Linked DNA regions of Yarrowia lipolytica. The protein of the gene in region 2 purifies or fractionates together with the protein of the main gene of each other region. This does not show direct contact. Links are inferred from orthologs where the notes say so. Each region holds a gene or a part of one and is shown on either strand. Other genes may lie near its edges. The genes, in order: YALI1_C04401g and YALI1_B16544g.

The links.
Region 1: the proteins of YALI1_B16544g (region 2) and YALI1_C04401g purify together in Saccharomyces cerevisiae (affinity purification with mass spectrometry; 3 studies listed by BioGRID). This does not show direct contact. The link is inferred for Yarrowia lipolytica from reciprocal best matches to the Saccharomyces cerevisiae genes TEF4 and OLA1.

The regions. Positions count from the first base shown.
Region 1 is NC_090772.1:437,913-441,862, forward strand, and holds YALI1_C04401g (uncharacterized protein), read left to right. Parts: upstream 1-2,202; coding exon 2,203-3,387; downstream 3,388-3,950. Other genes in the region: YALI1_C04389g (uncharacterized protein), read right to left, coding at 1-1,000. UniProt on the Saccharomyces cerevisiae protein: Hydrolyzes ATP, and can also hydrolyze GTP with lower efficiency. Has lower affinity for GTP.
Region 2 is NC_090771.1:1,652,620-1,656,489, forward strand, and holds YALI1_B16544g (elongation factor 1 gamma domain-containing protein), read right to left. Parts: upstream 2,306-3,870; coding exon 2,276-2,305; intron 2,150-2,275; coding exon 1,981-2,149; intron 1,814-1,980; coding exon 807-1,813; downstream 1-806. Other genes in the region: YALI1_B16566g (uncharacterized protein), read right to left, coding at 3,869-3,870. UniProt on the Saccharomyces cerevisiae protein: Subunit of the eukaryotic elongation factor 1 complex (eEF1). Probably plays a role in anchoring the complex to other cellular components.

The DNA.
Region 1 (3,950 bases), on a different chromosome or scaffold from region 2:
GGTTCATCTGGCCCTGGTTCATACCCTGGCCTTGCATCTGGTTCTGGCCCTGCATCTGGCCCATGGGTCGCAATCCCTGGTTCTGGGGAACCTGTGCTTGGGCTTGGTTAGGAGTCTGTTGACCCTGGCCCTGAGCTCCAGTCACGCTCACGTCACCATGGGCTCGTGCGGCAGCGGCGTGCTGTTGTCCGAGCACAATTTCAATGGCTCTCAGACCCTCCTTCTTCAGCCGGATTTGGTCCAGTTGCTGCTGGAGCTGCTGACGACGATCATCGGTAGTGTTGGGGTCGCCAATGACCTGCTGCATCTGCTCCATGGATTGTTGCCATTCGTGCTGTGTTCGGCGTGACGACTCGAGGTTCTTGACCCGGAACGTCTGCTGCTGCTCGTACGTCATTTCGTTGAAGTTAGGAGGCTGTCGACGCAGCAAGAATGTCTGTGCCTGAAGCAGCTGCTGGTTCATCCGTGGGTTATTTGTGGGGTTGGAGGGGTTAGGAGTGGCATTAGCGGGGTTGGGTGTGTTTCCAGGGTTGGGCGTGCCTGTAGCCTGGGGATTGGGGGTCATTCTACCTTGGCCCTGAGCTTGGTTCTGGCCCTGGTTCTGGCCCTGGTTCATACCCATACCCATTCCTTGCGGAGGGACCTGGCCCTGCGGAGGAACCTGGCCCTGTTGACCTTGCTGCTGTCCCTGTTGTCCTTGCTGCTGACCACCTTGTCCCTGTTGTCCTTGACCCTGACGAGCCATCTGTTGTCTCATTCGACCTTCAACCTGAGTAATCAACTCGCGCAGCCGCTGCGCGTGTACAAAATGCTGCTGGCCACCACTCTGCCGGGACAGCTCAAGAGCCTGATGGTAGTTTTGGTAGAGAGCTCGGAGTTGCTGCTGGGGGTTCAACCGAGGCCGATTCTGGGCGTTGCCCTGGCCCTGGCCCTGGCCCTGGGCACCTTGACCCTGGGCGTTGCCGGCGTTCGGATTCTGTTGGCCCTGCCCTTGATTCATGGTGTCGATGTTGAATCACTATCACTATGGCGTGTCGTGTGGATGGTGTATTTCTAATGGTGGTGATGCGAAAAATAGAGTTCCATGCTGGGACAAGTCATGTGATCTGAGGGAGAAAGGGAGTCCAGTCGAAGTAGTTTGAGGGCAGAGTCAGTAAAAAAAATTGACGTTTCCAAGTTAGAAATCATGGATAACCGGGAGTATAAGTTTGGTTTGTCGAATTTGCCTCTGAATCACTGATAATAGTTCTATGAATTTCCCAAGTACACTTGTTCATGGTACCAAGTAACCTTCAATGTTACAGTATATAATATAAAAACAAATTTAATTTGATTTACTTTAAAAAAACTTAACATATCTAAGTATCACAACCGCCAGTTCGATTCTAAATTGCGCTTTAAACAGGACGGCAAAAGAGACACTTGTTAGGCTCACCAAGGATGACCAAATTGATACTAACTAAAAGCCTAAGTAATATGGCTTCTCTGAGAATGCAGAAGAGATGTTATAACAGGATAATCCGATAGACAATGATATAAACATTGCTGTCCTACAGTATACTGAAGGAATTTATTTCAATGTGGCTTATTTATAAATATATATATATATATCAAAAGTTTTCAAAAAGCCCGACTATGACCCCCAGGTGACTTGTCCGCTTAACTACTCCCAACTAACTTCGTATCTACTGGCGCTACAGCAACACTCTTTGCAGCCTTGCAACATGCAATGACCCATTTCGATCCAATAAATACTTATTGGATATCAATGCTTACCAAACACCACAAACATTCTGCTCACATTGCTCACTCTGCTCAATACTGGACGTGCCATTTCTCTTAGGAAGTCAGCTCAATCTGACATGCTCGCGTCGTTCGGGGTTTGGGCATCCATCTCCCATTCTCCCAACCCTAACCCCCAAACCACTCTTTCTTTGAAATTCCAAGCTCAACCTTGATTTGACACGTATGGTTAATGAGCCCAAAATAGAGACAACCCGGGATATATACGAGTTATAGGAGAGTGTAGCATACTCCAAAACAAGCCTCTACTTAAGCCCTGGCCCTATACAACTTGGCCTGTCACCAACTCTCTGCTCTCTCTCCGGCTTCAAAGTTAGGGTTAGGGATGACAACCAACCAAGTCATCTACTGTATTCAGCAGTGAAAAATTTCATCACCAGGTTAACACCACACACTACAATGCCCCCCAAGAAGAACGTCAAGGAAGAGAAGATTCTGCTCGGTCGACCCGGCAACAACCTCAAGTCCGGAATCGTCGGTCTGGCCAACGTTGGAAAATCGACCTTTTTCCAGGCCATCACTCGATGTCCTCTTGGTAACCCCGCCAACTACCCTTTTGCTACCATTGAGCCTGAGGAGGCTCGAGTGACCGTCCCCTCTGCTCGATTTGACAAGCTCTGTGAGATGTACAAGCCCGCTTCCAAGGTCCCTGCTCATATCACCGTTTACGACATTGCTGGTCTGACCAAGGGTGCTCATGCTGGAGAGGGTCTTGGTAACGCTTTCCTGTCCAACATCCGAGCTGTTGATGCCATTTTCCAGGTTGTTCGATGCTTCGACGATGCCGAGATTATCCATATCGAGGGTGACGTTGATCCCGTGCGAGATCTCCAGATCATCAAGGACGAGCTTCGACTCAAGGACATTGAGTTTGCCAAGAAGCACCTTGAGGGAGTCGAGAAGATTGTCAAGCGAGGAGGACAGTCCATGGAGGTCAAGCAGAAGAAGGAGGAGGCTGCCACCTGCGAGAAGATCATCAAGCTGCTGGAGGACGGCCACCGAATTGCCAACCAGAACTGGACTGGCAAGGAGGTGCTGGTCATCAACGAGATGCTGCTGCTGACCGCCAAGCCCGCCATCTACCTCATCAACCTGTCTGAGAAGGATTACGTTCGAAAGAAGAACAAGTACCTGCTGAAGATCAAACAGTGGATCGACGAGAACTCTCCCGGAGACGTCATCATCCCCTTCTCCGTCTGCCTGGAGGAGAAGCTGTCCCACATGGAGACCGAGGAGGAGGCCGAGGCCTACCTCAAGGAGATTGGTGCCACCACTTCTCTGCCCAAGATCATTACCACAATGCGACAGACTCTCGGTCTGATCTCTTTCTTCACCTCCGGTGCCGATGAGGTTCGAGAATGGACCATTCGAAACGGTACCAAGGCTCCTCAGGCCGCCGGTGTCATCCATAACGATCTCATGAACACTTTTATTCTGGCCCAGGTGACCAAGTACGAGGACCTGGTCGAGTACGGCGACGATGCCTCCGTCAAGGCTGCCGGAAAGCTGCAACAAAAGGGTAAGGATTACGTGGTTGAGGATGGAGATGTCATTTACTTCCGAGCCGGTGCTGGAAAGAACTAGACGAACCAATTGAGCGTAACGGAAGTTGGTGAGTCGAGTAACAGCTAACTAAAAGCTGTTATAAAGTATAATGACAGGCTCATTGCCATGTCCCTGTCTGGTCAACAGATGATGGTTGACAACCTGGTCATAGATAGAAATGTATGGTGAGGTTATAACACTGTAGACAGCGTTTACGTAAAGTAGATGTATGGAAAGAGCCCTAACTGACCGCCCAGAGGATTATCTGGAGTGAACTGTGCGCAGAGAACAAACAAGAGAGCCTAAGACCCCAAAATGGACTCGATACTCACTTGGGTATCCTTGCAGAGAAACCACAGCATCATACCAGAAGGTCGTGTAGCTATTTTAACTAGCGTCTGAGGACATTCATCTTACAGTCTCGCTTCGGATATCCAATCATCCATCCATCTTGACATTTCGAGATGCATGCCATATCTCTAACTCTCATGAGAAGTGCGCCTATCTCATACAAGCATCCATAAGTTGGTTCTACTACTTGTAGTACAGTCTAATGTCGTACTCTCTCCATCTGAGCACTTCATTCTGGATAGAAGATGACA
Region 2 (3,870 bases):
TCAGCTATAAATAAAGGACTCGACAGGTCTATCAAGGATCTTGAGTTAGTGTTGATTCAAAAGAACGAACGAATTTCAAACTGAAGTTTCAGAGTAAAAATTATATTCATCGGGTCCCGGAGGACGCTAACATTAGAGATGCCAGAAAAAATGCAATTTGGATCATCATTGTAAGCGTGTAGGGTGTGGTACTCACTGTTTGCTGTTGTGTGTGAAGGAAAGGAGAGCCTAAGCAGATTTTTTATATGCTATGCGTAGTGCTGAGCACGGGTGCAGGATTGGGTAGGGTAATTGGGGTTAATGGGACTTGCTGGTAATGACGACGAACTTTATTTGTTCGGATTGCATGACAGGGTATCTTAACTGTTGTTAGAATATTGGTTGTATATATACTTACTGGATTAACGAGATCATTTTACTTGGACACTTCTTGGAAATCATGGATCAACAAGTTGTCAAGGTAATATGTTTCATCATGGCATTATGCATTAAACTAATAAGCAATTATATATATTGTACAGGGGATGAGAGTCCCATACTGTGTACACACATTCTGGCAGGGATCAAAGCTGATTTACTGTAGTAGTAGACTCATCATATTCACAAAAAACATACATAGGGTATGTATGTATTGTACTGTATACAACAAGAACGGTGCAAAGAAGGTGGGACATGCAATTACAGTAACCCATTACTCCCCATTCAACCATTGCTACACTTCCTCTTTCAATTTACAATCATTCATTTAATGTACACGGTAATCAAATGTCAATCCTAGACTACACAATAAATTACTTGGTTTGCACTTATTTAAGAACAGCACCGTCGACAATCTCCTTGGACTCGCCAGAGGCAGTGACGACAGGCTTATCCCAAGCCCACATGTTGTCGACAAACTCCTTGTCCTCGGGGTTGGAGGGGTCGAGCTTGACGAAGTCGTAAGACTCCCAATCGGGGGCAACGTCGAAGGCAGCAACGTGGTCCTGGCCTCGGATCATGAAGGCACCGATAATACCATTGTCGTTGTTGGTTCCGTAAACGACGGAGGTACCGAACATGTACTTGGTGGAGGCAGACAGTCGGTTGACAAAGCCACCAATGAGGTTGGTGGACATGAAGGTGAGGGTCAGCTCATCGTCGTACTTGTACTTAACCTTCCAGAGGGAGTAGTCCTCGGGGTCGTAGTGCTCCCAGAACCAGGGGATGGCCTTCTCTCGGGTATCCTCGTTGGAGTAGACTCGCTTCCAGTTGTCAATGGGCTCCTTGGCGGGGCCGAGGGCGGCAAGAGGATGGGCAGCCTTCTTAGGGGCAGCCTCCTCAGCGGGAGCAGGGGCCTTGGGGGCAGCCTCCTTCTTGGCCTCCTTCTTAGGCTCCTCCTTCTTGGGGGCGACGTACTTGACTCGCTCCTCACAGAGGTTAAAGTCGGTGCCAGAGTAGATGGGGTTGGCAGCGACGGTGGTGAACCATCGGGTGGTAGCGGGGTAGGCAGCTCGCCACTTGGCGTCAAAGAGGTTAGCAAATCCAAGAGACATCAGGCCGACAGCGGCGATATCAGCGTAAGTGACAGACTCGCCGACAAGGTAGGTGTTCTTGGTGAGGTGGGCCTCAAAGGTAGCCTTGACGGTCTGGTCGAGCTTGTCAGAGAGAGCATCGACAGCCTTCTTGTTGTAAGGAAGGTAGCCCTTGAGAGGGCCGAAAACGTTCCAGGTGGCATCCGCAATATCGGAGTTGGTAAAAGAGACCCACTGGAGAACCTCAGCCTCCTCGTCCTTGTTCTTTCCGCAAAGAGGGTGGTTGGGGATCTGGGAGAGGACTATGCGGTTAGTATAATTGTATGGTATGGATCAATGCGGGTTGCAATGAGAGTAAATGTCAGGTACCATTTCTCAACACGAAAGTTATTTAGACAGGGATAACTGTTTAAAAAAAATGTTTCATCATTTTGCAAGGGAGGGGTTGTTGTTTGGGGGAAATACTCACGCCAGTAGGAGACGGCAACGAACTCGTGGATGGGAGTGCCGTTGGCGGTCAGGAGGGCAGGGACCTTCTTGAGAGGGAAGAGCTTCTCGAACTCGGCGTCCTTGGGGACAACCTCAACATCGAGCTTGAAGTGCTTGATGAGGGCCTTGATAGAAGTGTATCGGGGGGTCTGTCGTTAGTAGGTGGCATGAGGACGGCATGCAACAGAAACAAGATCCGTGATCTGTGCGGTTTGTGTGCTTGATCTGAGGAGAAACCAAAGGAATATACTCAATCAAGGAGACAATTGACTCACCTGGAGGTCGTAGATCTTGGCGATAGACATTGTTTGTGTTTGGACTGCGATCAGTGAAGAAAAGAAGAGGAAAAATTGTGCAAGAAATTTTGCTTTCAAGACTTGGCTGATGCAGCAGGGTAACTCTGGGACACAGACCTATGTTTGTGGTTAAACTCAATGCACGTGGTACGTGCGTGGAGCGCTTACCCATCCAAGGGTGTGGACATGGAACCGACGGTCCGTGGAGTTGTGTAATGTCATTTTGGCGACTCTTGAAGCAAGGCTATAAAAAAATTGTGTGGCTTGAGTCTTATCGAGCTCGGTCACTACAAGAGTTAATCTTCCTGTCTCAGGCAGACAGGTCAGGCAGGGTTACTTTTGGGTGTGCTGTAACTCACTGTATGGCCGTTAGTGCGCATAGACGTTGTACATACTGGACCGAATTGTAGCGTGCTCAATAGGGCCAATAAAGCTATTGTAGCTCAATGTTGAGGTCGTGGTCGAATTGAATTATTCGCCACTATTGGTCTAATTTATTGTAGGGTGGGTTATACCATACCCCATAGCATGAAATGTCCAGTTATCCAGGCCCAATTTTTCTGTGCATATTTTCGATTCAAAGTTGGCCCAATTTTTTCCGGTCATACAGTTCAATTTGTCACAAAGCGTACTGTACTTACAGCGATGATCCCGCCATTAACACTGACCGTTCGCAGCATACATTAGATAGCGGGTACAGCACATACCTGTACGAGTACAGTACGAGTACGAGTATGTACTATTGTACTATGTTACCCGACCATGCTTTGTATGATACCGTACATACTGGATTCGACATACTGCAAGTGCTTACCATCATCACATAACAAGGACATCCGCATCTGCTCAACGGGCTTTTATTATTTTTGGTTATACTGTAAAAGAGGAGGTTGATCTGGGAGGAAGAACTGAGATCAACATTTTTGCATATTAACCAGATTACGCCATATACGAGATGCATCCTAATTGTCCCTCCAAGCTCCCCTCTAAGATTCCTCTACGCTCCCACATGTGCTGACGACTGGACCAATGGTCCTGTCGTATGGTTTCTCTGGAAACACAGTCACGAGTAGCCTGGTTTGGGACCATGTCATGAGGCTTATTTCCACATGGGGACTGATTTCGAGCTAGTCGTGTGTGAATGGCTCTGTCTCGTTTGTTTTTCGTCATTACCGAGTGTGTCTCCATCCCGTATGTCTCATCCCTATCAACACTTCTCGATGCTTCAGTTGTCTACTCTTCTATACGATACTATACATACGCTCTACCGTTGGAACTGCTCACTCCCACCCAACAAAAGTGCCTACAATCCTGCTGTAACTAACGCTTCCTGTCCACCTGATAATGTTACAATATTAAGTTGCATTCAAAGCCAAATCAGAAGGAGCGGAAACCAAGCCGGGTTACAGTCCCATCGTACAAGACCTGTATCCAGACTCACCACAGAAGGCAGCTGTCACAACTCACACACCCAGCATTTTTCATCTCTGACTGCCAACTAACCACACGCTCGGTGCCATCTTTGAGAGCATCCCTACGGCTTTTCTACATCTGAAACCCCAGCCTCTGTTTTT